Oryctolagus cuniculus: one gene and its partners. The protein of the gene in region 3 binds, or shares a complex with, the protein of the main gene of each other region. Links are inferred from orthologs where the notes say so. Each region holds a gene or a part of one and is shown on either strand. Other genes may lie near its edges.

Evidence for each region.
Region 1: DHX9 (region 3) and IGF2BP1 share a complex: the UniProt entries of both Homo sapiens proteins name them as parts of the coding region determinant (CRD)-mediated complex. The link is inferred for Oryctolagus cuniculus from reciprocal best matches to the Homo sapiens genes DHX9 and IGF2BP1.
Region 2: DHX9 (region 3) and Y-box-binding protein 1 share a complex: the UniProt entries of both Homo sapiens proteins name them as parts of the coding region determinant (CRD)-mediated complex. The link is inferred for Oryctolagus cuniculus from reciprocal best matches to the Homo sapiens genes DHX9 and YBX1.
Region 4: DHX9 (region 3) and HNRNPU share a complex: the UniProt entries of both Homo sapiens proteins name them as parts of the coding region determinant (CRD)-mediated complex. The link is inferred for Oryctolagus cuniculus from reciprocal best matches to the Homo sapiens genes DHX9 and HNRNPU.

What each region holds. Positions count from the first base shown.
Region 1 is NC_091448.1:25,184,800-25,190,267, reverse strand, and holds the start of IGF2BP1 (insulin-like growth factor 2 mRNA-binding protein 1), read right to left. Parts: upstream 3,848-5,468; 5' UTR 3,461-3,847; coding exon 3,286-3,460; intron 2,196-3,285; coding exon 2,135-2,195; intron 1-2,134. UniProt on the Homo sapiens protein: RNA-binding factor that recruits target transcripts to cytoplasmic protein-RNA complexes (mRNPs). This transcript 'caging' into mRNPs allows mRNA transport and transient storage.
Region 2 is NC_091434.1:59,356,563-59,361,441, forward strand, and holds Y-box-binding protein 1, read right to left. Parts: upstream 2,492-4,879; 5' UTR 2,477-2,491; coding exon 1,463-2,476; 3' UTR 941-1,462; downstream 1-940. UniProt on the Homo sapiens protein: DNA- and RNA-binding protein involved in various processes, such as translational repression, RNA stabilization, mRNA splicing, DNA repair and transcription regulation.
Region 3 is NC_091444.1:1,071,745-1,076,700, reverse strand, and holds part of DHX9 (ATP-dependent RNA helicase A), read right to left. Parts: intron 4,366-4,956; coding exon 4,213-4,365; intron 2,769-4,212; coding exon 2,608-2,768; intron 1,932-2,607; coding exon 1,820-1,931; intron 1,070-1,819; coding exon 908-1,069; intron 808-907; coding exon 680-807; intron 1-679. UniProt on the Homo sapiens protein: Multifunctional ATP-dependent nucleic acid helicase that unwinds DNA and RNA in a 3' to 5' direction and that plays important roles in many processes, such as DNA replication, transcriptional activation, post-transcriptional RNA regulation, mRNA translation and RNA-mediated gene silencing.
Region 4 is NC_091444.1:64,891,397-64,896,352, forward strand, and holds part of HNRNPU (heterogeneous nuclear ribonucleoprotein U), read right to left. Parts: intron 3,271-4,956; coding exon 3,131-3,270; intron 2,695-3,130; coding exon 2,595-2,694; intron 1,570-2,594; coding exon 1,457-1,569; intron 1,180-1,456; coding exon 916-1,179; intron 648-915; coding exon 528-647; intron 1-527. UniProt on the Homo sapiens protein: DNA- and RNA-binding protein involved in several cellular processes such as nuclear chromatin organization, telomere-length regulation, transcription, mRNA alternative splicing and stability, Xist-mediated transcriptional silencing and mitotic cell progression.

The DNA of each region.
Region 1 (5,468 bases), on a different chromosome or scaffold from region 3:
AGAGTGCATCCAGAACAATTCTATTTTAAAATGTAAACACAACAGTATATATACACAATTTTATATATGTAATCATTCCGTTTGCTTAGAATGTTAGTCGTAACTAATTAAACCTAGTTCCTGTTCCACATCCATGAGATTGAAAAAAATTCAACTGGAAGAGTACTTCTCAGACACAGACTAAAGACAAACACCACAGCAGGCTTCCTCAAAGAACACAAAATGATAGAGCAAACTGACTTAACGAAAACAAACCTTTCTTTTTTTAAATCCTGAGAGCTCCAAACAAAATTGATTCAATCTACAAAAATGAAGTCCTTTCTCACCACCTCCATCCACCAAAAAATAAGAAAATAAAAGAAAACACAATCAATGCAATGTTTGGACTTACAAAAAGTGTTTCAGGAATAAAGATCTAATTTAATATGAGTGTGGAAAAGGAGATTTTTTTTTTTAACCCAGGCTTCTCAAACCCCCTCCCCATTCCAACTCAAAGAAAAAAAGCCCCATTTTGGAGGGAACAAGAGGCTAGGAATGGCTTAAAAGCAAGCAGATGGCTTAGGGAGAAAGATCCATACATACAGAGCACCATGAAAATTAAAATATAAATGTTTTGAGTTCCATTTCACCACATTTTGCTATTTCTCTTCCTTTTCACTTCATTCCCTTTAAAATTTAAACCATCCTCTCTAGAGCAAAAGAAAATCTATACATTGACAATTCCAGTTATTCTGAGTGTTTCTCACCAACACCACTTAGCTTTCAATTCAAATATCCAGAATTTTTCCATAAATCTACTGGGTTCTGCATACTTCTTTCTCCCAGTTCCCATCTCCAGAAAATGCTTCAGATTAAATAAGACTTCTTTTCCTTCTTCCAACTGTATGCCTGTTCACTCCTCACTCTAATTGCCTTTCCAGTAACAGTACTACAGGCATCTGAGGTTAATCAGAAGCTCTATAAACATAGTAACAAGCCATATTGATCATCTATTGATACAATAGTTCCAAGTTGCTTAAATACATCAAGCTCAACCACTGGACAGATTTCTATCTCTGGTTAAACTTTGGAGATCCTCTTAACCACCCCTCTAAAAGCAAAGCCACCCCCAAACACACCCCCTTCCCACTTAGAAAAAGAACTGCTTCCGAAGGGGGAAGGGGGATGGAAGCCTTCCAGGGGGCCACTGCCAACCCAGCCGGCAACAGCAGAAGACTCGGTACTGTCACCACGCTTGGGAAACTAGAGAAGGCTGTGCTTACACTTCCTTAGCCAGAGCTCAACTCGAGATTTCAGAGTTCAATGAAAGATGCGAAATCCGCCATGAATTCTCAGAAAGCACCCTGTTTGGCCCAAGGATAAGGAGTACGGGTGCGCGCAAGCCCGCGCGCGCGCACACACACACACCATTCATCCACGGAGTTCTAGATCCTCCAAAGAGCCCCAGCTCACAGCCCTAACACAAAGCTCTCACCCCAGATGGCCCCCTGGTAACAATGGGCTGCAGGAGCCGGGGTGGGGGCCGCCACAGGACAGGAGGGCCAAAGCATATTCTCAGGGAAAGCCAGTGGGGGTGGGGGTGGGGAGGGGGTGGGAGGAACTGGGGGCGGCAGTCTGTAGGAAGTCTCTGCCTGTTGCAGAAATATAAATAAAGGGTAAGGGAATTCTGCGGGGCGGGGGGGGGGGGTGGTGGTGCGCGGGGCAGACCTGTGTCTCCACCAGAGTGGAGTAGAAAGGGATCCCCTAAGTCCACTTCCGAACCACCCTGCCTGACGGAAAATGGGGCCTGCAGGAAGCCTGAACTAAGATTTTAAGCTTCCGCACCAAAATGGCCCCACACTTGAGGCAAGCCCCACGAGGTGCTTCCCTCTGCTTGATTCTCTCCCCTGTGAGTCTGCAGGTACCGCCTGTTTGCCCACCCCATCCCCAACTTCTCCTGCTTTTCCAAGCTGTAAACCACCCATGACAAGATCTCCAGTCTTGCCTCCCAGCCCCCAACATCCCGAGTCGAGGGATGAGAAGCCAACGCCAGGTCTCAGCCCCCGGGGACGCTGTGGACCCCCGACCACGGCCTCTCGCCAACCTCTGTCCCCTTCCCCCCGCCCCCCCAGAGAAGAGAAGCGCTCTTTCCTACCTTTGTTTTTTGGGAACCGAATGTTCAATTTCTAAGCGTTTTCCTTGTAATTCTACTTTTCCTAAAGATTAAAAAAAAAAATTAGCGTGAGCGCGTGAACAGGGGCAGGGGTGTTGAGGCAGGGGGCTCTCGGGAAATTCAAGTTCCTGGGACCCGATTTCTCCTCGGAAGCAAGTCAGTGGCGCCCGCAGCCGGATGCCATCAATTCGTTATTATGTTCTCTTAATTTCTGCTTTGCGTCACCACGGAGCTGGTGGCGTGAATCGCTAGGAGAACCCGAACCGGGAAAGGTTCGAGGTGATCTGTGCGGGCGCTCTACCCGTTCGGCTCCCAGATGTGCGGAGCCGCAGCCAGCAGAGAAAGGACTTCCCGCTGCTCGGGGAGGGGGGGTGCAGAATCAAACTTTATTTTACTGTGGCGCGTAGGACAAGGGCTTCGGGCGGCAGGGCGGTCACCTGTCGGGCGGGTTGCAACGCCGAGGCCCCGGGGGAGCCGCGCGGGGCCTGGCGGGGAGGGTCCCGCGCCGCGCGCCTCTCGGCCCAGCCTCGGCGTCTCGGTTAGCAGCATGGCGACCCGCGCCGCCGCGCCACCGCTCACGCCCCACTTTCAAATCAAAATGGCTCAAGCCCCGGGCCCTGGGCGGGAGGCGGGATCCCCTTCCTCCCCAGTCTTGCCCGAGGGCTGTGATCCCCACGGACGGCGGGGAGCTCGGGGATCGGGCGGGGACCCCTTCCGCGCCCGGGAAGGCCTAGGGTTAGGAAGGGAGCGAGGGTGCTCCAGCTGGGGGGCCGTCTGGCGGCTGCTAGGGAGGGGCTGAACATGCAGCGAGCGCCCAGACGGGGTCGTCTCGTGGCCCTCGGACCACCACCCACCCCCCGCCACCGCCGAGGGGGGCTGCAGCCCCGGCGATGGGAGTGGAGATTGAAGGGAGCCCGAGCAGCCCACCGAGGGTGGGGAAATCCCGAATATTCCCGGGAGGGGGCGGGGGCGTCGAAGGCGGCAGGTCGAGGGTCAGCGGCGAGGCCGGGCCCCGCATGCTCGCTGAACGAGCAGTTGGCGGCCGGGGCGGCGGAGAAGGGGGGGGTTCGGAACACAGGCCTCCGTTGTACGGGAACCGGCCCGGGGCTCGGGGAGGCGGCCCGCGCGCTTACCCGAGAAAGTTTCGATGGCCTTCATCGCCCAATGCTCGTCCGGGCAGTCCACGAAGGCGTAGCCGGATTTGACCAGGAACTGGCCGCTGTAGGAGATCTTGTGCTCCGCAAACACTTTCTCCAAGTCCGCGGGGGTCACGCTCTCGTTGAGGTTGCCGATGTATAGCTTGTTCATGGTGGCGGCGGCGGGGCAGGACGCGGTGCCGGGCGAGGCCGAGCGGGCGGGCGGGCGGCGAGCCGCCTAGGCCGAGCGCGGGGAGGCCGGCGGCGGCCGCAAACTTTGTGTGCACCCCGCCCGGGAGTGTGCCCGGAGCCCCGGGCGCGGAGGGCGGCAGGAGGGCGCGCGGAGGTCGCGGCGGAGTTCGGGGGAGCCCGGAAAGTGCCCGCGGCGCGCTGGGAGGCGGACGGCGCGGCGCTGCTCCTCGCCTTCGCTCCGAAACCCCTGCGAGCGGGCTGGCGTGTCACGTTTCTCCGCGGCCGCCCTGGCGCCGCCTCTAAATAAAACCGACTTGAAAAAAAAATGGAGCGGAAAAAAAAAAAAAGGCCGAAGCCACGTGGTGACAGCCCCCACCCACCCTGCAGGGGAAGACCCCCGACGCCACAGGGCCCCACTGCCCAGAAAACCCGGCCCGGCCCAACAGCTTCCCTCCCGGGGGCAGGGAGGGGGCACTCGGCTCACGCTCAGAGGGAACTGGGGCGGCGGCGGCGGGGGGTGGGTGTGCAACGCTCCCGAGGCTCTGCCCGCCCCCTCCCCCTTGGCAGGAACCTGGCCCCCGGGGATGCGCCCCGCCCCCACCCTTCCCCCTGCCTCTACCCCAGCCTGAACTGGGGGAGGGTGGTCGAGCCCCCAATCTCCCGTCTTTGGGGCGAAACGTGTGGTCATTTTTCCACTGGTTTTGGGGCGCGGGATTGCCTACCCCACCCGGTTAACTGCTAGCGACTGACAGGCGGGGGACGACCAAGACAGACAAAGAGAAGCCGGGGACTCTGGGGTCTTCAGGAGGGGGTCGCACGAGCCGGTGATTTCAAAAGAAAGGCGCCTTTTCCTTAGGTTTCGAAGCGGGGGCGGGGGAGGTCTTCCCTTCCCCGCCCCAGCCCCGCGAGCCTCCCCCACCTCTTGGGATCCAGGACCCGGGGCCCTGCGAACACGGGGGATCGCCGCGGGTTAGCAGGAGCTCACAGGAAATAGTGTTCCGGACACCCCTGGAGAAGCGCGGGCCCGTGTCGGGGTACTAGCCACTAAATGATAATGTTCGGGTTCCCGGGGGACCGCGCAGCTCCGGCTGGGACGACCCCAGGACCGAGGGAACCGGGTGGCAGCTCCGGCTAACCCAAGCGGACCGAGTAGGGGAGCGCAGGCGGGGTGCAATCGGGTGGAGACCCGAGCGGGCCCCCAGCCCCCCAAGGCGGGGGCAGACAGGTGGAGTCCCCTGCGCCCGCACCCTGCCCCGGGACGCCGCCACGACTCCGGCGGGCGCTGGGTTTGGGTCTCGGAACTTTGTTTGGGGCGCAGGATTCGGGAAGGCGGGAGAGGGGCGGAGGGCGGGGGCCCAGCGCGAAGCCCCGCCCACGTCCCCAGGTCAGACCCGCGGGGGGAGGGGGTAATTTCCGCTCCGCGCTGGGGGAAGCGAGGGGCGGGAGCTTCTGGGAGGGGGCGGCGGTCCCTCCCGCTCGCCCGTTCCTGGGGAGGGGGAAGCGGATCCGCCCAGATCCCTTCCCTCGTCTTTGACCAACTCGTTCCGGATCCGCGGGCTCGGGAGCCCGAGAGAAGGACTAGGCTGGGCGAGGGGCGACACGTGGGCGGTCGCACCCCGTCTGGGCAGTGGGGGAGGGGGCAGCTCTCCGCGCGCTTCAGAGTCCGGATCCGCGGTGGAGAGCGGGACGCGCGCCCCACGCGCACGCCCGGGATCCCCGGCCGAGCGGCGAGCGGAGGCGACGTTTCTGGCGGAGGGGGCTGGGATGGCGTCCGGGGGTGGCGGGTAGCGCGGCCCGCGGGCGCAGGAGAGAAGCGCGGGGGGTCGACCCTCGGGAATGCCGGGGTCCTCCAGAGCTGGGCGGAAGGTGGGGTGTTCCGGGGGGGTGGGGTCTGCGGGGGAGGTAGGAGACTAGTTCTGTCGGGGGCGCGTGCACGGCGAGGGCAGGTGAAGAAGGGGGTCCCCCCTTCCCGGGTCCCCGACCCCATT
Region 2 (4,879 bases), on a different chromosome or scaffold from region 3:
CTAAATCCATTAGACTAACATTTACTATATTATATTATCTCCCTTGATTACACAAGTAATTAAGCATGGTGGTGGCGTTTCTTAATGATAACTGATATTTAGAAATTTAATAGACGTGCAAGTAATTTTGGGTAGTGAAAAGTAAAATGCCAAGTTTTAAAGGTCACACAGGATGTGAAAGCACAAAATTCCCAAGACCTTTCCTCCAGCCTGTACGGTGGCAAGCAAGAGTAAAATGTATTAAACATCAAAATTATCAAAATATTTTATTTTGAAAAAAAAATTTAGTATCATGGTCTCAGACTGGCTTATCCAAATCCAATGACCACTAATAATCACGCTCTTTAGTTCATACACAATAACAGCCTACAAAGGCCAACCACTTCTGTCCTCTATTATTTTACTTCTATTCTATTTAATTCTAGTCTAGTATGAAGTTCAACACAGAGATAAATGTTCTTAGGGAGTAGTGTCACACTCCATGGCTGCAATTTCATAAATCTAGGTTGATCCTGACTCACTAGTGGACCTCAGAACTCTACAAAAACCGGGTCACTGTGAGCTTGATTCTAGGTTCAAGGTCTCTGCGAGGGATCTTTATTCCTTCTTCAAAATCCTACAAAAGCTCTACACAAGTCCTTTTAATAACTGCAGCAGAAAAATATAGCCCAACTGACATATTAGCAAGCATAACTTAGAGGAAAAGTTACTCTTTAATCCCTAATAATTATGATACACTTACTATTCACAATTCTTACACATGACATCACAATGAAATATGTATTATCATCATTCCAACTTTACAAATGGGGAATCTGAAACAAGGACACAAACATCACACTACCAAGAGTGGGAGGAAGGGTTCAAACTCATACCCTCAACTACCACCCTGTGCTTCTGTACAAAGGATCTTCAAAAAGTTCATGGATAATGTGTATTATTTTTTTTTTATTTAAGACCTTTATTAGCAGGTGCTTGCAGTTTGTTGACTTTTTTGAAAAAATCAAGTTGTAAACTTTTATTACAAATTAAAAATGAAGTTCTTAAAAATCTCAACTTGACCAGATATGAAACAATTTAAAAACCTTTAAAGGTGTATTGAGAAAAACCAGGCTTTTTTAAAAAACACGTTTGTCGTTACCAAAAAGAGACATCTTTAGGTAAAAATAATAAAAACCCCATGCTGCATAGATAATGCAGATAGTTCTAGTAATCTGGTCAATGGGCAAAAAGCAAGCACTTAAGGTCTTCAGCTCCAATCTTTTGTTCATTTCTTATTGCTGGAATTTCATATTCATTTCTTCTTGTTGGATGACTAAACCGGATGATGGTAGAGATGTTAAGCCGGCATTTACTCAGCCCCGCCCTGCTCAGCCTCGGGAGCGGACGAATTCTCAGCTGGTGGATCGGCTGCTTTTGTCTCTTTGCCATCTTGTGGTTTAGGGTTATCTGGGCGTCTGCGTCAGTAGTTGAAGTTGCGGCGGTACCAACGCTGAGGTGGCTGCTGACCCTGGGTCTCATCTCCTTGGTTTTCCTTGTCTTCTTCATTGCCGTCCTCTCTAGGCTGTCTTTGGCGAGGAGGACCTCTGCGGAATCGTGGTCTATAACCCCGATACATATTCTGTCTCACTGGTCTACCTTGTTCTCCTGCACCCTGGTTGTCAGCACCTTCCATCACTTCTCCCTGCACAGGAGGGTTGGAATACTGTGGTCGACGCCCATAGGGTCTCCGCATGTAGTAAGGTGGGAACCTTCGCCTGCGGTAGGGCCGGCGTTGTTGGGCCTGGCCTTCGGGAGCGCTCTCCGATCCCTCATTCTTTTCCCCACTCTCACTATTCTGGTAATTCTGCTGGTAATTGCGTGGAGGACCCCTACGACATGGGTAGCGTCTATAATGGTTACGGTCTGCTGCATATTTACTGCCTTGCACTGGAACTCCACCAGGACCTGTAACATTTGCTGCCTCCGCACCCTTTTCTCCTTCAACAACATCAAACTCCACAGTCTCTCCATCTCCTACACTGCGAAGGTACTTCCTGGGGTTATTCTTCTTTATGGCAGTCTGGTGTACAAATACATCTTCCTTGGTGTCATTCCTGTTGATGAAACCATATCCGTTTCTTACATTGAACCATTTTACTGTTCCCAAAACCTTCGTTGCGATGACCTTCTTGTCCCCGCCGGCGGGCGCCGCCAATGTGAGGCTGCCCAGGCCACCGCTCCCTGCGCCGCTGCCCGTGGTGCCGGGCTTGGTTTCCACGGCGCTGAGGGCGGGGGCGGCGGGCGGCTGCTGGGTCTCGGCCTCGCTGCTCATAGTTGCGGTGATGGTGACTGGGGCCGGCTGCGGCAGCTGAGGCTCCTCCCGGGGTGTGATGGTAACTAGGCCGGCGGTGGCGGTGGGGCTGCTCAGGGCTCTCTGGGGTCCGCTCTCCGCTCCCGCTACCGATCGAACTATGTGTATTATTTTTAAAAACATGCATTTCAAACATGTTTGTACCCAGATACTTCTCTTTAAATTCCACTTTCCATGAACTTTGAGGTTGCCTCATACAATGATTTATCTTTAGTGCTCTTCCATTTTAAGTATCAAAATATCAGCATTATTAATAATCCTACACAACATTAATTCTATTTCTAAATAATCTACTACTGTTTCAGCCTACTGTCGCTCCCCCTCTTCATGGAGGAACGACACTAAACCCTGCCTAGGCTTCATATCCGAGTCACGGCACCATTATGTCGCTCCCCGTCTTCGTGGAGGAACGACACTAGACCCTGCGCTGTTCTTTTGTCTGCTCGGCCCTCCCCGGGTTTGCTGCTGGTTCTTCCCAGGTTGGCTACCGTCCCTCCCACCTCCGTGGAAGGGCGGTTCCCCCTGCCACTTTCCCCACTTCCGCGGGGGAGCAGCACACCGCCAGCCGGCTCTCTCGGGGGCTGCACAGGTGTTCCTCTTAGATGTTCCTGGTGCATGTTGTCTCTCTCCTCCTTTATAGTCCTCTTCCACCAATCCCAACTCTGCTACCCACACGCCGAGTATGCTGCTCTCCTCCAATCAGGAGCAGGTCCTGCTGTTTATTGGTTGAACTGGAGGCAGCTGAGTAGAAGCTGTTTACTCCTCTCCCAGCGCCATATTGTGGGAGAGCAGATGCATAGAATAAGTCTTAATTCCAGTAACAGTCTAGTCTGAGTTGCTCCCCACAGATCCCCCTTTCTTTTTATTTTTTGGCGTTGATACGCGCCTGTCTTCGGTGCCCCGTGGCACACACTCTGCTCTGCTTGCTGGAGTTGCCCACAGGTTCTTACAAGTCCTATCAATCAGGCAAACCGAATCCGGGTCCTCTCTTCGCCATGTTGTGAGGTTTTTAGGCGCTGATGCGTGCCTGTGTTCGGTGCCCTGCAGCGCATGCTCTGCTCTGCTAGAACTGCCTGCAGGTGCTTACAAGCCCTACCAATCAGGCAAACCGAATCCAAGCCCTATCATCGCCGTCTTGTGGGGAGACTTATTGGTGTTGATAACGTGCCTGTCTTCGGTGACATGCAGCCGCTCACAGGTGCTTATCGTCTTACTAATCAGGCAGACCGAATCCAAGCTCTCTCATTGCCGTGTTGTGGGGAGGCCTTTCTATTTCTCTATCTCCAGGCATTCCTATTTCTCCTATTTTACTTCTATCTGCCAGCATTCCTATTTCTCTCATTTTACTTCTATACTTCTATTTCTCTTATCCCTGCGGCATCCCGGCGCCCGCCCCGAGGCTGCTTCTTGGCACCTTGCCCCGCAGCGGCTTCCCGGCTCTGTGCCACTTCCCGGCTTCGCGCATGCTCCGCGGTCTCCGCTCCCCTTCACACCCGTACCACAGCCTTGCGCTAGCCCCACGTTCCCTATCTATTCGTGCCCCGCACGCTCTCTCTGCGCGCGGCAGCTTCCGCAAATCACACAGCCTAGCTCACGTTTCCGCCACCGGTATTCAGTCTAAGTTCCCTGGGCTAACTTGGCGAATTCAACCTAGCTCACGTCTGCGCCTTTCGGTTTGGCTTCCCGTCTTTTGCTCCCCGGGCTAATCTGACGGATTCCAACCTGGCGGCCCACGTCTCTGCCTCTGGTTCCAGATTTTCGCCTTTTGCTCCCTGGGCTGACTTGAAGAATTCCAAGCTAGCTTACGTCTCCACCTCGGCCTGCCCCTGCGGCTTCATCCTCCCTAACATTTTTCTCTACCCGGTATGTTTCCTAACTTTTCTTCCAACAATATTCCCCTTTCATTTCTCCTGGCTTCTCCCCACAGTCCGTATCCAAGTTTGTTTGTTCTAGCTTTCACTTTCGCTTTCAACCTTAGAGATTTCTCCCAGCTTCCCCTCGTAGTCCGTATCCGAGTCTATGCCTAGGCTTTCAATAGCTTCTTCCGGCACCTTTTCCGTCCGGCTTTTCCCTAGGCTCTTCTAGTCTCTCTCTCCGGTATTTTCCCACTTCTTCCCATTTCTTCCCTCCTGGGTTTCCTATCCGAGTCACGGCACCATTATGTCGCTCCCCCCTTCATGGAGGAATGACACTAAACCCTGCCTAGGCTTCATATCCGAGTCACGGCACCATTATGTCGCTCCCCGTCTTCGTGGAGGAACGACACTAGACCCTGCACTGTTCTTTTGTCTGCTCGGCCCTCCCCGGGTTTGCTGCTGGTTCTTCCCAGGTTGGCTACCGTCCCTCCCACCTCCGTGGAAGGGCGGTTCCCCCTGCCACTTTCCCCACTTCCGCGGGGGAGTGGCACACCGCCGGCCGGCTCTCTCGGGGGCTGCACAGGTGTTCCTCTTAGATGTTCCTGGTGCATGTTGTCTCTCTCCTCCTTTATAGTCCTCTTCCACCAATCCCAACTCTGCTACCCACACG
Region 3 (4,956 bases):
CAGCAGGACCAAGGTCAATGGTCAATGTATTTGTTGTTCTTAAACTGCTGCGTGTGCAGATGGAGAGACGCAGCAAAGGACACCCACCGGAATGGAGGCAGGCGCGTCCAAGTCCAACTACAGTTCATGAGCACCGCATCTGGAAACACGAGCGCCAAGGCCTGCGCAGATTCTGCTCTAGCTCAGCCTGAGACGAAATCTTACAATGTCCTCACTGAATAAAGCTTAAAACTGTGAACTTCTATGTTGGTTTTATGATCTTTTAAATTGGGACAATATCTGTACCCAGGACCACTGTAAAGATTTTGCCAATTAAAGTATATGGTTCCAGCTCCCATCAAGAGATGAAGAATTGGACCACTGTCTCTATTTCTAAGGCACGGAACATCTAGAACCATCTACACACAGAAATTCAGTTCAAGCCACTGAACATGGGAGAATCCACGTCAAGTCTAAAAATGAACATGGGGCAAACTGATACACCATTTCTCAAACTCTTTCAGGATGAAAACCTTTTACCTCCTTTTTTAAAAGACTTAATGTAAAAAAACTGTTATCACCACAAAGTACTAAAGGCTAGAAACACAGAAAAACCACAGGATCTAAAGTCTGAAGTTGAAATACATGTTAATGTGCACATAGTACATCGATGTCACTTTGAAAATATTCTGAAAATTACCTTCTGGAAATCCAGAATTAATCAGAATCTCTTTAAGCTGAACTTTGGCTTCCCAAGTCATTCTCAGTGTAGCCATATTGAGTCTTTTGTGTTCACAAAAACGTATCTCTGCTTCTTCTCCACTCATTCTAAAATAAATTAGGACATTAAGGGGGTCATTCTCAAAGACCAGAGATCTAGGTACAAATTAGAAACTAGAGCTAGTTCACCCAAAGCTCAAGCCCATACCTGGCATCATCCCAGGCTTGGAATACCGATAACAGGGCCACGTGATCAGAGAATCTGTTCCCAGCAAAATTCCGATGGATGTAGCCGAGCCGCTTTCCTTCGTTGATGAAAGGCTCTGGGAAGCAGGTAGCAGCAGAGATGGTGCAGACAGCGTCTCCCACACTGCAACACACACACGTTCACAAGAGGTGAGGCAGGACTGGCAAACGTGGACTGGAGTCTTTCGGCTTTGATGAGTGAGGGAACATTACAGCTGCTCTCCTCAGAGCAGAAGGGGACAATCAACTCTGGAGCTGATGGCCACCTATCTACCATAAACTATGACCAAGTACTATATTCTTCCTTTCCTAGTCCTTTTCCATTTTCTCACCTTCCAAATGCTGTGGTAAAATAACTCTCTTTGGGGCTGGCATTGTGGCAGAATGGGTTAGGCCACCACCTGCAACTCCAGCATCCCATGTGGGCGCCGATCGAGCCCCAGCTGCTCCGCTTCCACCCGGCTCCCTGCTGAAGCGCCTGGGAAAGCAGGAGGAACAGCCAGAGTGCTTGAGCCCCTGCACCTGCATGGAGACTTGGGCAACGCTCCTGGCTTCGGCCTGGCTCAGCACTGCAGCCACTGGGAGATCTGTCTCTCCTTTCCTCTAACTCTTTCAAATAAATACATCTCTAAAAAAAATTGTATGCACACACACCCACACCTCTTTTCCTAAGACTATTTTCTTCCAAGAGACACCCCAGCTCCTGAGATGAGCAACAAGGGAACAAGTCCCGTTTCTTATCTCACAGCGTGCTTTTCTTTACTTCTGAAGCCTGAGTTTCTTCTACTTGAGCCCATCTTGCTTTTATGGGGGGAGGGTTTTGATTCTGAAACTTTCTGTCACTTAACTGTCAGCAATAAAACAACATACTTACTAGAAAATACACCCCATGATCATCATTTTGCCAAGACGAGGCTCAATAGGGAGTTTAGCTAGGATCCGTCCCAGAGGAGTCAACTCATCATTGGCATCTAGTGCGTCCAGCTCTGCGGGGAGATAATTCCTTGTGAGCAGAGGTCATAACAAACATCCTTGGCCCTAGACAGGCAGCAGCCTTCTTTGTGGACTGTTAGGGCACCGACGCTGCACTTAGGACCTCACACCGGTCAGCCTGACCGCCAACACCATGCTTGCAGCCCACAGTTCTCCTCACAAACGGAGTAGAACCCAACTCTGCAGCGCCCTGCATGAAGGACATGCCGTGAGAAGTCTGTAATGGTGCTAATTGTAACAGCACTGCAAGTACCTACGTGCCTCAAAGTCTGACACCCATCTCGTGATGATTTTTAGAGAAAGAAAAGAAATCTGCAAAAGCAAAACCTGAAGTTCACACGGCAGGTGAACTGAAATTCAGAAGCATTTGGCTGCAATACCCTTGTATTTTCGTATACTGTTTCTGATAAGACATAAATAAATGTTCTAAGAGATGCATATAAAATTTTATGGGCATCACGATATTCTGATCTTTAAGTACTAGTTAAGAGATAATGCCTTACCTTTTCCCTTTTAATTTTTCCCCCAAAATGAGAACATTATCCCATTCTTAAGTTTTCTTTGTAATGATGGCTTGACTGAGCACATGAAGTGACACTGAAAGCCCTCCCTTCACAGCCCCCTGACGTGCTGCGTGGGGTCCTCAGGCACAGGTCTGAGTGCACACACCTCTCAGAGTGTGCTCCGCTTCAATCACAGCGTCCAGGGGCGGGGGCTCTATCGCCTTAGCCAGAAACTGGCCGATTCCTCCGAGACGCAGAAGCTTGATGCTCAAGGCAATTTCATGCAGTGGTGTCCGGAACATCTCTGGTGTCATGTGGGTTTCCAGTCTGGGGAAGGAGCAGAAGAAACATCCTTTTTGCATATGCAGATATTAATAAAGGCTTCGCAAGGGAATGATGGATACAAAGATCTGCCCTTTCTCCATCTTTCATAATTAAACATGCAGACATTCTCTGGACAAGATTTCAGCTGATTCTGACTTAGTGCCTGGTGGTACTCTCAACTGAAGGAAGGCTGGAGAGACGATCCATTCCCCTAATGTCACTACCTATAGCTTCCTCAGGTCTCTTGTCTGTTGACAAACACTGGTTAAAACAGCAGCAAGACTTTCTGTCTATGTAACTTTTAGTGCTACTGGGAAGGGTCTTACAGATCAACTAACCTTTTAAAATTCAAATACAAGTTATTATAATGTTAGAATTTCCTTTGTGCCAGGCACTGCTGTGTGAATTTGACATTATTAACTCACTTTTTTTTCACACCAATCTTATAGATAGATTAGGCATTACTCTCATCCTCTCATGACTAAGAACACAGAGACAGGCCAGGTAATGTAGTCTCATTTTATGGGAGGGGTAAACAAAGTCCTAAAGAATTTAAATATTTAGGATTATGCCATGTATCGGTATTAGGCATAGACAGTATTAAAATCTAGGTCTGTACACTTCTAATCCAGGCTCATTTCCTATAAACTACTCACAACGAAGATTCATGGGTTAATTCCAACATTGCTGGCAAGACAGATCAGCTTAATTCAAGTCTACAAAAGTAGCATATCTGCTCTTCCCACTATAGACAAAAGAGCAAAAATCTCACATTGTTACTAATTAGTAGGCGATTTTACTCTAAGATGTCAAACAGTATTTGTTTCTTCAGTGCAAGTGAATAGCCAATGTTTACAAAGAACTAAACGTATTCCAAATGCTGCAGCCAATTTCCTAACTTCTAATGCTCATCTACAGCTACGTAAGAGTACTTAGAATTACAAGGGAGTCTGATGTTACCGAATCTGATTTTTCCTCTGCATACCATGTATACCTGGGCACTGAAGTAATTTTCTGCCACATCGTACTTTCCCGTGCGCATTAATACAAGCCCCAAACTCTCCCCTTTATTATCAAGTGTATAGCACAAAGACCCCCCAGACACAACTCTACTTTCACCTTTAATGTACAAAGGGTATCTTTAGCCAACTGGCCCATCCACACACCTCCCCCAAGAAGCCTCATAGGCTCTGAATGTAACTGAGACTTGGGTTTCAATCCTGGCTCTGAAGTAGTCTTGGTGAAGTGAGCTCAAAATTTAGTCTCCTTATTCAAATAATGCCTGTACTTCTCAGGGAACGTCCTCTAAGGCACTACCTGGAGGCATTTATACCCTGAATTCACTAAGTTCATGGCAAAGTGCAGAGGAAACCAGGGGCTATGTGCAGTGAAGATGCATGAAGGGTTAAAAACAAATCCTCAATCTTCATTCAACACTTGGTCTCACCTCTCAAAACGAGCTCGGCTACAGAGGTGAAAGCAGAATCCAGGCCGCACACGGCCAGCTCGCCCTTTCCGCTGCTCAAGGTTTGTTTTGGACGCCCACACCGTGGCATAGTTGGTCATGTTGTTGTGAGCAGTGAACAGTTTCACTTTCTGCCTGAATACAAAGAAGAGGTTAATTCTAAGACACACAGCCACTGACGCAGGGACCCTCTCCAGAGAGCTGGGCCTGCTTGGGAGGTCTGTTGTGAATGGCCATCAGGGACCTGACTCTGCAGGTTGCCAAGCTGGCAACATACTAAACAGTGGACACACTCACCACTTCCCAGCTACAGGCTTGTCTGACAATCAGAGCAATTACCACTTCCTACTCCAAGGGTTTCTATTTAGAAACATGAAGCCAATTCATCAATGCAAAATACTCAGCAGGATCTGACCAGGCCACGTGAGTGCCAACTGCTCAAGCCATCTATACGAGAGGCCCACGTACATCTAGGTGTCTTAGGTCTACAGGTTACATGTTCAGGGAGAACGTGGCACAAGCTCATACCAGGCCTCATCAGGCAGTGCCCGTGCGGTTCTCCTGAACCTCAGCAGCCTCATGTTCCTCCAGAGAGCACGCAGGCAGCCACTGCCTGGAGACTGGGTAGCACAGAACGCGGGTCTGTAGGCAGGAGACACAGGCACAAAGCAGCCAGGGAGAACCAAGTTTCTACCCGACTGTCCTCTCTGTATTACTACTTTCCTG
Region 4 (4,956 bases), about 64 Mb from region 3:
CTTAGCAGCTAAGAGCTTAAAAAAAAAAAAAAAAAAAAACTATGGAGATCAGAAGCCTAGTCCGCTGGAAGAAGTTTACCTTAACTCCTAAGAGCTTAAATAACCAATCTGGAGGCCCACACTGTGTGTTTGGCTCTGCTGCCCGCGAGGCTAGAATCCCACATGGGCAGCAGTCAGCGGCCTACTTCGAGTCCAGCTCCCTGCTGATATCCTAGGAAAGCAGCCAGATGGCCAAAGTGTTTGGGCCCCTACACCCACTTGGGAGATCGGAGTGAAGTTCCTGGCTCCCGCCTGGGCCTGGCCCAGCCCCAGCCATGGTGGGAGCCATCTGGATAATGAACTTGTCGATGGAAGAGAGCACTCCCCCCTCTCTAACTCTGCCTTTCACATAAATAAACTAATTTGACTTTGTTCAAATTTGTATCTCTAAGGTACCAAAATGAAAGATAGCAACAGGCAAACAAGAGCCTAGAGAACCTTGTAGTTTATTTGAAAAGCTGAGATCAGTTCCTAAACATCTTACTTACCATCATTTTATCCATAATGGTATTTGTGCCAAGAATGTTGTATTTCCCAGGATTCTCAGCTGCATGCTTAGTAACCCAGGTAGTTTTTCCAGCTCCTGGCAAGCCAATCATCATCACAACCTGTGCAGCAAAGAAACATTAATTCACTGTCTCATCCTTACAAGTTAACTGTAAGTCTCTCTGGTTATTATCTAGGAATTCAGCAATCCAGTCTCATAGACCCAGGAAGACAACTTGAGAAAGTTTAACACTCCAACGTTAAAGGAACTATTAAGTACTACATTTGGGAAAAAGCAAATGAAAACACAACACTCATCCGTATCTGTCACTTTTTTATCAACCAAAAGCGATCTTTCACATGCCACAGCTGAAAATAAAAATCGCTTACCTCACAATCCTTCTTCTCTTCAGGGCCCTTAGGTCCTCTAACCCGGTCCTCTAAGGGGACATTCTGGATGAAAGTATATTCTTCAGGTATTGGAAAATATGGCTTTTCCTTCTGACCAAAATTAAATTCAACTGCACAGTTGTGGCAGAGAACATGCGGGAACAGTGGCCGTCCAGCAAGAACTTCTTTACTGATTTTGAAGGCAACGCCAAGCTCCTGTCCATTCTTAGCGTAGGAGAGTTCTACTTCATCACTTTCAAAATTCTGTTCAAACAGAAAAACAACTTTAATCTACTTCCTATAGGCTTTCTGAGAAAATGCAAAAATTCATAACTGGGAATGACTTTTAATCTTGTGGTAAACATTAAATGTTAAGAACTTTGATAGCTAAACACTGAAGCACAAACAGTGCCCTAGAAAGTGAGCTACACTTTCAAAATTCATCTGCTTTGTTTCTCAAAATTTTTATTTTTCCTGATAACTAATGAAATCTTAACCTTGTTGATCACAGTGAAGGCTGAATTATGCAGCCCTGACTTACAGCAAAACAGGTGATCACATCATTTTCATCAAACTTCTCTCCATAATCTTCAGTCTCACAGTTGCATGTTTTTATTCCTTTCAGAGAATACCCATAAGAAAATTCTTCTTCACCTAAAAAAGTAATTTTCATGAAGTAAATATTTAAAACAATCCAAAGACCCGCCTGGTTTACTATTCAAAATATAGGATGTAATAGAAACTAAGCAAAAGTAGTCTTCAAAAGTTCACAGAAAATGTGTATTACCAAAAAGCTGCATGCATTTCAGGAGTTTTTGCACTGGAATAGGTAATTCCAGTATTACATGAAGTTTTCATAAGTAGCTTAAATAACCTAAGAATCCATCATTGGCATTCAGTTTTAACTACCTCTACACTAGATGTAAAAATTGATGAAGGCTAACTGGACCTATTACAAAATAAAATTTGTGGACAAACTGCATGTCTTGTATACAGGGGCCAACCCTGTGGCACAGGTTAATCCCCAGCCTGCAGTGCCAGCACTTCATATGGGCTCCGGTTCTAGTCCCGGCTGCTCCTCTTCCAATTCAGCTCTGCTACAGCCTGGAAAAGCGGTAGAAGATGGCCCAAGTGGGAGACCTTGTTAGAAGCTCCTGGCTCCTAAGCTTCAGATCAGTCCAGCTCCAGCTGTTGCTGCCATTTGGGGAGTGAACTGGTGATGTTAGACCTTTCTGTCTCTCCCTCTGTCCACAACTCTACCTCTCAAATCAAATCTTTAAAAAGGCTCCTCCTTAATGCACAGGAAAAATGTCCCAAGTTCTTGCACCCCTGTCACCCATGAGGGAGACCCAGAAGAAGCTCCTTGTTTCTGGCACTGGCATGGCCCAGCCCCAGTCATGGCGGCCATTTAGGGAGTGAGCCAGCGGATGGAAGATCTCTTCTCCCCCTCTAACTCTACCTTTCCAAAAAATAAATCAGTCTTTAGAAAAAAAAGTATGCTGCTCAAGCCATTAGTCATAACTCAAACAACCATAAAGGAACAAAAGCAAATTTAGACTCTGCCTACTGTTACTATTCTCTAAAACAGAATGAAAATAACAAGAAAAGGTTTTGAATGCCTGCAGATAGTTAATGAAATCAGACATTCATGAACTTGCAGTACTCAATGTAAACTTTACCTAGCAACATTCCACTTGTGGTTAGCGACCAGCCAATCCGAACTTCATGTATGTCTATATCTTTTGTATATAAATGCCTTACAGGTATCTTCTCTGTAACCTGAAAGTTAAGTCATTATATCATTAACTGTAAACCAAGGTAGGTAGGTTATTTATGTGCCTGGTTTATCTCACTTGGGCTATGGGTACCTAAAATTCTTCTCTAGCTATTTATACAAAGACAGGACACCCAACTCTACCCCACTCCCAGTATTTTCCAATTGATGTAAGGGCTTATAACTTAAAATTAAATACTTGGTTGATTTAGATTTTTAGAACAATATTTTTAAATTACATTCTCAATTGATGTTTTTCTCATAAAACCAACACTCTAACCAAAAGAAATTTTAACTCTTTGGTGGCCCTTTTCAAGGGCCTCATATAATGGAGTGCCCTAAATAATGTATGGGCTGGCTCTATAGGGCAAATTCTGATAAATAAACTTGCTTCACTATTACAAAATGAAGGTTCCAGAAACCTCACAACATTGCATTTACCTTCATCTCAAAACAGACTTTGCCTTTTGACACACCATAAGATGCCCTTCCTCCAGCCCAAAGAAAGGCAAAGCTCTCCATAGTAAGCGAAGAAGCACTGAGGCGATCTCTTGATATTTTAAAATGTAGATCACAATTATCTGCAATTATATTAAATACCATATTATTCTTTTGACATCCAATGGAAATCTATTTGCTATGTAGACAAAACTTGGATGTTAAATTTTTTTCATGTACTTCTTAATGCTGCAGAAAACAGTTTTTAACACCATGCTGTTTTCCCAATTTTCCGTGTAAGCCCCACTCCCACCATTCTTATCAAATTAAGTACTAAAGAGTAAACTGCCTATAAACTAAGGCTTAATGTCTTTAAGAATATAAAACAAGACATGTGACATGGATACATACCTGCTCTGCTCTTTACCTTGATTTAGAGGCACGCAGTAGAGGATAGCAGGAAATCAAAGTGAAGCATGCCAGAACCAGGTAGAATTTACCAGTGCCACAATAAAACTGAAGGGAGGCCACGGCCAAATATTTGAACATAGGAGTATGAGCTGTTGATCCCGTACTTTAACACTAGGCTCCTAAGTCCTAAATTATTTTCTAAATCTTAGGAATAAGGCAAGGCAGCCTCAACTTGGAATATACAAATCTGGTCTTCTAACACTGTCAATATTACAGCATTTTGGTCTTGTGTATTTGTGTATTAGCAACAATTAAGGATTAAGCTCTTAATCAGGTCATCCAAATCCAAAGCATCTTTAATCTAGCTACCTCTGGGTCACGTGAGGGACAGCTAAAGTCAAGGTAGAAAGCTGGCTCTTTTCCTTTTTACAGGACAGGAAACCTACAGTTCGGAACTTTTAAATTAGCTTTGCTCCTGAAATTCCTGATCACTGATAGAACTATGATTTCAAGAAGCTGTTGTTGCTCCTGTAATCAGTGCTTCAGCATCTTGGTAACTGCTAGTAACTTGAAGCAACTGATTTTGACATCAAAATTTCAAGCCACCTTTTCCATATGCATTTTTTTCCCAAAGACTCAACTCTTAACTACCTGTACAGGGTATTCAAGTAAGAAATCAGAGGTATCACCATTTATCACCTGAATCAACAATCTGTACAAGGAAGCATCCGAATCTAACTTCCGCCTTACCAGAGCAACTTGACATTTTAACTTTTCAAGTACGATTTCTACTCTTGGTTCTATTTCACACTGGAAAGACTGGTGCATCCTATTCTGATCAAACGCTAACCCAACGTAATTTAAGTAAAATCTGACAGCCACGGCCCATTTAAAGGTTTGCAATAATTCCGCATACTCGATTGCAACCCAACTGGGTAACGTAGTATTTACAGTGCTGCCATTGATACCATTCGCTGCTGAAGAAAGCTAGTGGCCCAGTGATGGCCCACTGCTGCTGCCCCAGGTCTTTGGAAGAAATCAACTTATGTTAAAGCAGCAGCTACTGAACTGGAATTGAGAACAAAAGAGCAGTTATTGAAATAGTATTACAGTCTTTTAGAATAGGGAATATACTTGAGTGCTAATGGGAAAAGTCATCAGTTAAGTATTTAACCAGCCCAAGTAGCTGACTTAACAATCCCAAAATAAAAGGAAATTACTGTAGGACACGTTAACAGTTTCCATTAGCTAACTAGTCCAAAATTGGCATCAATTTCACATTCAAGAATAAGAAGCTTTAAATTACAATTAAAATTGCCAAAGCCTGTAAAATCAATTCAACACAACTGATGGCATATTAATATTAAACTACTGCACTCTGGGTATCAATCATTATCTTTGCTTTTTAGAAAACTGTA